Linked DNA regions of Nothobranchius furzeri. The main gene of each other region encodes a partner of the protein of the gene in region 2 in a complex. Links are inferred from orthologs where the notes say so. Each region holds a gene or a part of one and is shown on either strand. Other genes may lie near its edges.

Region 1 (3,440 bases), on a different chromosome or scaffold from region 2:
TGTACTGGTGTGTAATGACTGGACCAGTGCTTCTATCCTAAAGAGACAGGAAAGCAGCGATGGTCGTCCCTTTAGCATTTAATCCCTGATCAGCTGTTATTTAATTTAATTAGGAAATGTTCCTACGAGAACTCGGATTCCATCAGCTGGACGTTTGGTTTGCTGCAGCAGATCAAAGCTTTAGGCCAGCGGTCACCAACCTTTGTATAGCTGAGAGCCACTTCCTGGGTACTGAGCTATACGAAGGGCCACCAGGTTGGTACAACACTGGCCTTTGAACTGGAATGGATCAGCATTAAACCGAACCCTTGTGTATAATAAACATAATTTGTTTTTAAAGAATATTGTAGTTTTTAGATCTATATTAATGCATTTGTGATTAAAAACATCTCAGCAAACTTCAGATACGTTTTATTGTATAGTGGTGTTGGTGACCTCCGCTTTGACCCTCGTCTACTCTGGTGTAGCCCTTCGACACGTCGTTTAGCCAACATGTTTGTTACGTTGGCTTTCCGCAGAATGTGCTTCGTCTGGAGACATATGTCTGGGTCAGACCTCTGAGAGCAGACAGAAACGTTTCACATAATGTTAAACTTTATTGATCACATTAAAAAACAACCGAGTTGATTCAAAGTGCTATTTTATTTAAGGCATTAAGAATGTAACAGGAAGTACACATACATTATTGTAAACGAATAAAACCATAACAGGGTTTGGTTATGCGCTAACAAAGGGTCACTCTACCGCTGATGGAGCTCTGGACATCACATGATCATCATGTGTTCATCTCCAGAGCAGTCACATGTACAGATGGAGAACTTCATTTTTATGTGTTTTGCTTTGCTCCACCTGCTGGACCAGCTACTGTAGTGCAAGTTTGCTTTTCGGTTATTGGTTTATTTTAACTTCGGTGTACTACACCTACATTTCTTTGCTCCGATAACCGAGTTTAGGCGTGTAGCTACACTTCCTGCCTGGCCTTCCTTCTCCCTGTGGAGATTTTAGGGGTAAATCCTCTAAACTGTTTAGTAAGAGCTGTGCTGGGTTTGTGGCTGATTGTGCAGCGATAATAAAAAGTAAATCCAACAACAATGAAAAACATACATTAGCTACATTATTGTGTACTGCAGCCGCTAAAAGGATAATGTCTTTTATACAGGTGTAAGGTGAAGAATGGCTTTCCGTCCACTTTTCTAATTTAAATGGAGCTGAAAAAACTGAAATGATCTCAAGACAGTAAACAGAAAGTGTAATTTGCATAAATAGGCTGAAGCCCAGGTCTCAGAGTCATCCTGTCCAACCTGACGGTCTACTAGCTCCAACGCTGAGGCGTACTCAGCCCTGCATGCTCCAGGTCTGCAGAGGTTTAGGCTTCACAAACGTGGATTTCTGGATTGATGAAAACATTTCTGCTCGCTGTCCTCTCACACACACGCACCCAGACTAACAACACTGTCACCAAACTGAGGCTTTTGTTCTCTGATCAAATCAAACGGTTTTTCCGTTACACTGAGTGTGTTGATAAACAATCTGATTAAATTACACATGAGCTAAGAGAATAAACAGATGTTAGTGAGTTAGCAAAGAGCAGATTAATAAAACTCCAGCATGAAGGTGGCAGGTGACACACATTCCTCCACGTTACAGATTGTTTACCAAAGCCACATGATTTGGAGAAGCAGTTGGATTCAGACGCTGAAGGAAGTTTCTGCAAAGTAACATTGCTGCTGCTGGGTTAGGGTTACTGTGTGGCAGACGGAAGGGTATGGAGGTCTGCAGTATTTCCAGAGGTTAGATGGAGCACAAAGACATGACCAAAGTCAGGTTTAGTATCCGTTTCCCAAACTCCAGCTCTAATGAACACCATATCAACCCAACAGAAGGAGGTTAATGTAGCTGCAATGATTAGATGATTAAGATTTCTGCTATCACGGCGGTACACAGGGCTGATGAGCATGCAGAGTTTCAGAGTCCTGCAAGTACCAAGAATTTCACATAAACAGTACCCGCTGTCAGGTTTACGTAGGAAAAAAAGAGGTACACAGAAGCTGTAAACATTTACCCTTTAAGCTTCAGAGTGGAAAGACGTCTGGTGCCTGGTCTGTGCTCAGGATCTGTAGGAATCATTGTGGGGACCCTACCCCGGTACCATTGATCTAGTTTTGTTGAAGCACTAAAGGAAAAAGCATCTAAAAAGCCAATAAATAAGAAGTTATGACCTGTATTATTTCATTATTGCAAACTACAAAACTGAGATGAAACAGGACTGTGGTGGTTGCGTTTTTGTCCCCGATCAGGGTGCAAATGTTAAATAAATGCAGCAAAAACAACTAAACCAGAGGAGTCTCGCCGGGCGGATCGGTGTCTAAGACGTGGAGGATAAAGACAAATCAGAACCACGTTGATTTGGAATGAAGCTGCCATCTGATCACTTATTGCTGTTTTCTTCTTGAGTTCAGATGAGGATCTCCACCACGTCTGAGTCCACCTCCTGTTGTGGTGGTGGAGCTGAAGCAGGAGCTGGCGGCAGCACCAGGGCCTGGACAGGAAACCTTCTCTCCAGCGTGCTGCTGTGAAAAGCAGGTACATCTACACAAACAAATAAACATCCTAAATGTAAAGTTCTAATAACAGCATCAAACACAAAACTCCATCCAGTAGGCCAGGGAGTAAATAAAACACACAGCCCAACAGTGGGCTGGTATCTAGGCCTCAAGTCTCCAACATCTGATCAGTAAAACGTGTCGCTAACTCCAGAAGAGTTTCGATGGTAGAAATGGTTGGATTTTAACCTCAGGAGTGCTAAAAAACTCAGCCAGAATGTGACAGTCCACCGATTGCTTGTTGAACATCCGCCAGTACCGGAGTGGGGTTTCAGACGGATTACTTCTTTAAACAGACGATATTTAAATGTTAAGACCACCTGATGGAGAAGCCAGAGTAGTGAGTACAACCAAAATGCTAACCACTAGCTGAATGGTTATAAAGTTTGGTTGGAACAATAAGTCAGTCTGGGAATCGGTCTTCTCTCTATACAAGTAGTGTGTGTGTGTGTTTGTTTGCACATGTGTGTAATGGCGTTTACACATTAGCGTCAGCTCGATCCCGGAATTTGGTTTCACACACAGGTCAGATTTGTCTTTTTGGTTCCGAGGCCTTTTTTCAGACCTCCTCCTGATGACTCGGACTCGAGGACAAAAAAACCCGATCGGGACATCCCTACTGAGAACCACACCTCCATGCTGCAGCAGCGTTCAGTCAGAACAGGAAGTGAAACTTAAACGTAGCTGCTGTCAGTAACAATCTAACAGATTTTAAACATTAAAACTCAACAGAAACAGTTCAGAAAGGAAATTTCACAACTTTGTGTGTGATTTATTATTATTATTATTATTATTATTTATTGTGGCAGAAGCTGGTGTGGTCCACCACAGAGAAGC
Region 2 (3,829 bases):
ATAAACTTTCTTCCAACGTGACTGAGTCATTAGACTGTTTTGTGATTATTTCAGTGTAAAATTCCTAATTATTTACCAAAATATTACAAGGAAAAGACCCACAAGGGAGGCAGCTACTGCTCTAATAGTGGTAAACATGGGCCCCATGATTTCTGCAACGCAGACAATATAGAATCGTATAAATTAAAATTACCATAAAATGTGGAAAGTCGCAGAATTTGTTGATAACTTGATGCAAGCAAACAAATCCCTGAGTTTTATAAATTTCTTTAAGACACTTCACAATAAAGTTCACAATAAATGTGAGACTGCATTTGGCTGCTGAGGTGGTCTGTTGCAGGCATCCAACGTTAAATCTCTGCACCAACATCCAACCAAGGTCTACGATTCTTTTAAAATATTAAATTTCAGTAAGATTTCTTGAGCCTGGAAGAAAATATACAACAACCACAACAATCAATAATAAAAATAAAGGTTTTGAAACAGCTGGAGGCTCGGCTGAAAAACTCCAGAAGAAACTGAGACATCCTGAACATCAGCATCAGTAAGTCAAATAAAACACAAATATAAGAATTACAAGTATTGCAAAAATATGATTGCAATAATAACAACCAATTTAACGATATTTTAGTGTAATGAAATGTTCTTTTAATTTTATCCAAAGGAAAGGTTGTTTCTTCCCTCTCATTTTAATTCTATTTGGAACAAAAAGTGTGACATTTTTTATTTCATTATTTACAGGCATCACAATAATAAATATAAAAAATGTAAAATCCTTCCATTAAACCGTTGGCCATGTTTTTGCTATAATGTAAGCAAACATCCATTTGAAAGACAACTGTGTGAAAAATTGTGTTGTGTTACCATGTGTGAGCTCTTGGCAGCTTGTCTGGTGTTCCCCACTGCTCAATTGTAAACAGCTGAGGTCCATTAGAACCTGGAATAAAAGGAAGATTGTTTAGTTGACTCCTCGCATTAAAAAGCTACATTCCAGTACAAACACTTCATTTTAATAATCCCTTTAAAATGAATTCTTTCTTGGAAATCCAGACTTATGAGGGACCAACAGGGCTGATAAATCTATGTTGAAGGTTTAGGGCAAGCAGCAGTTTATTAATACTAAATAAAAAATCTAATAAAGAGAAAGTGATATGATGAGGTCACGCACCGTAAAGCTCAGCAAAACCATTCATGGGCACTCGTGATGTTCCCGTAACAAACTGAAGGAGTCGGATTCTCTTCTCAGCGTCCATCAGAAGAACAACCTTAAAAGAGGAAAATAAACACAGATTCATTTAAATGGTAAATGGTAAATGGCCTGTATTTGATATAGCGCCTTCTAGAGTCCTGGAACCCCCCAAGGTGCTTTACAACACAATCCGTTATTCACCCATTCACACACACATTCACACACTGGCGGGGATGAGCTACAATGTAGCCACAGCTGCCCTGGGGCGCACTGACAGAGGCGAGGCTGCCGAGCACTGGCGCCACCGGTCCCTCCGACCACCACCAGCAGGCAACGTGGGTTAAGTGTCTTACCCAAGGACACAACGACAGCGACAGACTGAGCGGGGCTCGAACCTGCAACCTTCCGCTTACGGGGCGAGCACTTAACTCCTGTGCCACCGTCGCCCCAACGCAAACATTATCAAAGAAAGTGTTTTTCTTTTTGGTAGATCACAAAGTAATTTCAGTACTCGGTTTATTTCTATAGCGCCAAATCGCAACAAGAGTCGTCTCAAGGTACTTCACAAAGTAAACATTCCAACACAGTTCAGCTCATTAAGCCAATCGGTAAAAAGTGTCCTACATAAGGAACCCAGCAGACTGCATCGAGTCTGACAAAGGCTCTGGCGTTCAGTTTGGCAGACTTAGCTTAGCGGTTTAGCATTAACTGTTGAATGATTCTTTCTTTGTGTTTTTAGTTCATGTTCAAGAGAATAGTATCTGTATATGAGAAGAGGTTAGGTCGACCGATATTGGTTTTTCTATTTCTGAAGCCGATACGTAGGAGACACGATCAGCCGATGGCCGATACGTAGGAGACACGATCAGCCGATGGCCGATACGTAGGAGACACGATCAGCTGATGGCCGATACGTAGGAGACACGGTCAGCAGATGGCTGATGTGTACTGCTGATTGTTATGGGTTTCCATGGCCGATGTCTAGACATTTTCTACCCTATCTTCATGCTAAAATGTCACTAATAACATCAATTGATGCAGAACATTCCTATAGCTGAATCCATTTTTGAAATTGAATTTTCAAAATTGAAAAATGTAAATGCCATTTTGTGCACTGCTCAGTGTTAAAAGTCAGACACATAAATAAAGTTAATTAGAATATTTATTATGCAAATGTTATTAATGATTCTAAAAAAACATTGGAATTAAATTCTGCAACAGCACCGGGCTGCTCGAGGATGTGCCTGAATTTAAATCGGCTTTACTAAGGACAAATATCGACCAATGTATATATAAAAAAAAAACAATAAATATCGGCTTCTAGTCTCAAATTCGAATGCCAAACTTGGCTTCAGCGTTCCTTCGTTCTGCTAGAGTCAGTGTACCTTCATTACGATGGCTGAGGTTTAGGAAACCAAACTAGCCGACGTTCTGTGTCACCGTGTCCTGATGAATCTAAAAGTGATGGCCCGAAATCAAACAGAAGTACGTTTGATGTGTGTGAGTACGTTAACGCTCCAGTCGAGATGATAACTAGGGCGGGTAATACTTTAAGCTCTTGCATCACAGCAAACAAGCCTGTTCTTTCAAACAGACTTTGATCTTCTAAAGTCAGGCCAGGAAATCAAGCCGGACGCTTACAGCCATGACCGGGACCCGGAGTTTATTGGGAAATATTCAGATTTTTGAGCTATTTTACATTTGACTGAATGATAAATAGTTGCATCTCAGATGTCAGAGGTGCTTGAGTAGATATGGAGTACACTGCAGTGTTTTACGTCTGTAGTCTCCTTGCTTATTTCCTTCACAGCTCAAGACCTAAACTAACAGATGGTGGTCTGTCTCCTGATGCAAGAGTTTTTACACAGGACTGGTTGTTTTCATTGAGGTGACCTATTCAAACATAAAAACGTTCTAAAAAGTAAATGTTCAGTCTTATTGAAGTCAGAGGGATCTCTTAAGTTTCTAAACGAGCCTTTAAAGTTTTAAATCCTGCTTAAATTGTGTTTAAACTTCACAAACTAACTTTATCATTTTCTAGTGTAAACACAAATCCAGTGTTTAGCTTGTGTGTCTCTACTGGATGTGGTTGCGAGTGCGTGTGAGGGTAGGTAACAAACCTTCCAGAACCACTGGATCACCGGATGGTTTGGGCAGTAGCCGTTCTTGTAAATAGTGTGTTGTCTCCAGTCGTTGACATCAACATCACCCAGTCCACACATCAGCAGCTTCACACACAATTTATTCACAGTCAGTCACACTTTCTGTACAATAATACCACATAATCATAGAGGAGTAACAGAACATCTCATTGGTCCAAAAACATGTAAATAAAATGTCTTCATCAAACAAGGTAAATATAATTGAGTAATAATTTAAAACATATCAAAGAATAATAATCTTGTTTGGATTTAATAATAAAAAAAGCCTCCACTTTACTTTTTATTTAAAGGTACGTGTCCATACCTCCAGCTCATTTTCATCAAAGATCTTGATCAAATCGATGGGAATGAGTTCTGTGAAGCCCTGAAAATAAAATGATTAATAAAATGATTAAAGTTGTAAATCAGTTAAATAAACATAAGGGTAAGGTTTGGAAACCAAGGTTAGTCTGTGGTTACATCGCCCCCATGTGGTAAC

Evidence for each region.
Region 1: the proteins of nedd4l (region 2) and amot are in contact, whole or in part, in a crystal structure (PDB 7LP3), measured with the Homo sapiens proteins. The link is inferred for Nothobranchius furzeri from reciprocal best matches to the Homo sapiens genes NEDD4L and AMOT. Residues at the interface, in NP_001138439.1 of Homo sapiens: Lys202, Asp204, Leu206, Arg208, Tyr210, Val212, Asn213, His214, Arg217, Thr218, Thr219, Gln220, Trp221; in NP_001106962.1 of Homo sapiens: His235, Arg236, Gly237, Pro238, Pro239, Pro240, Glu241, Tyr242, Pro243, Phe244, Met247.

The regions. Positions count from the first base shown.
Region 1 is NC_091750.1:44,152,488-44,155,927, forward strand, and holds the end of amot (angiomotin), read right to left. Parts: intron 2,590-3,440; coding exon 2,456-2,589; 3' UTR 624-2,455; downstream 1-623.
Region 2 is NC_091746.1:58,544,886-58,548,714, reverse strand, and holds part of nedd4l (E3 ubiquitin-protein ligase NEDD4-like), read right to left. Parts: intron 3,716-3,829; coding exon 3,656-3,715; intron 3,418-3,655; coding exon 3,310-3,417; intron 1,266-3,309; coding exon 1,169-1,265; intron 938-1,168; coding exon 865-937; intron 1-864. UniProt on the Homo sapiens protein: E3 ubiquitin-protein ligase that mediates the polyubiquitination of lysine and cysteine residues on target proteins and is thereby implicated in the regulation of various signaling pathways including autophagy, innate immunity or DNA repair.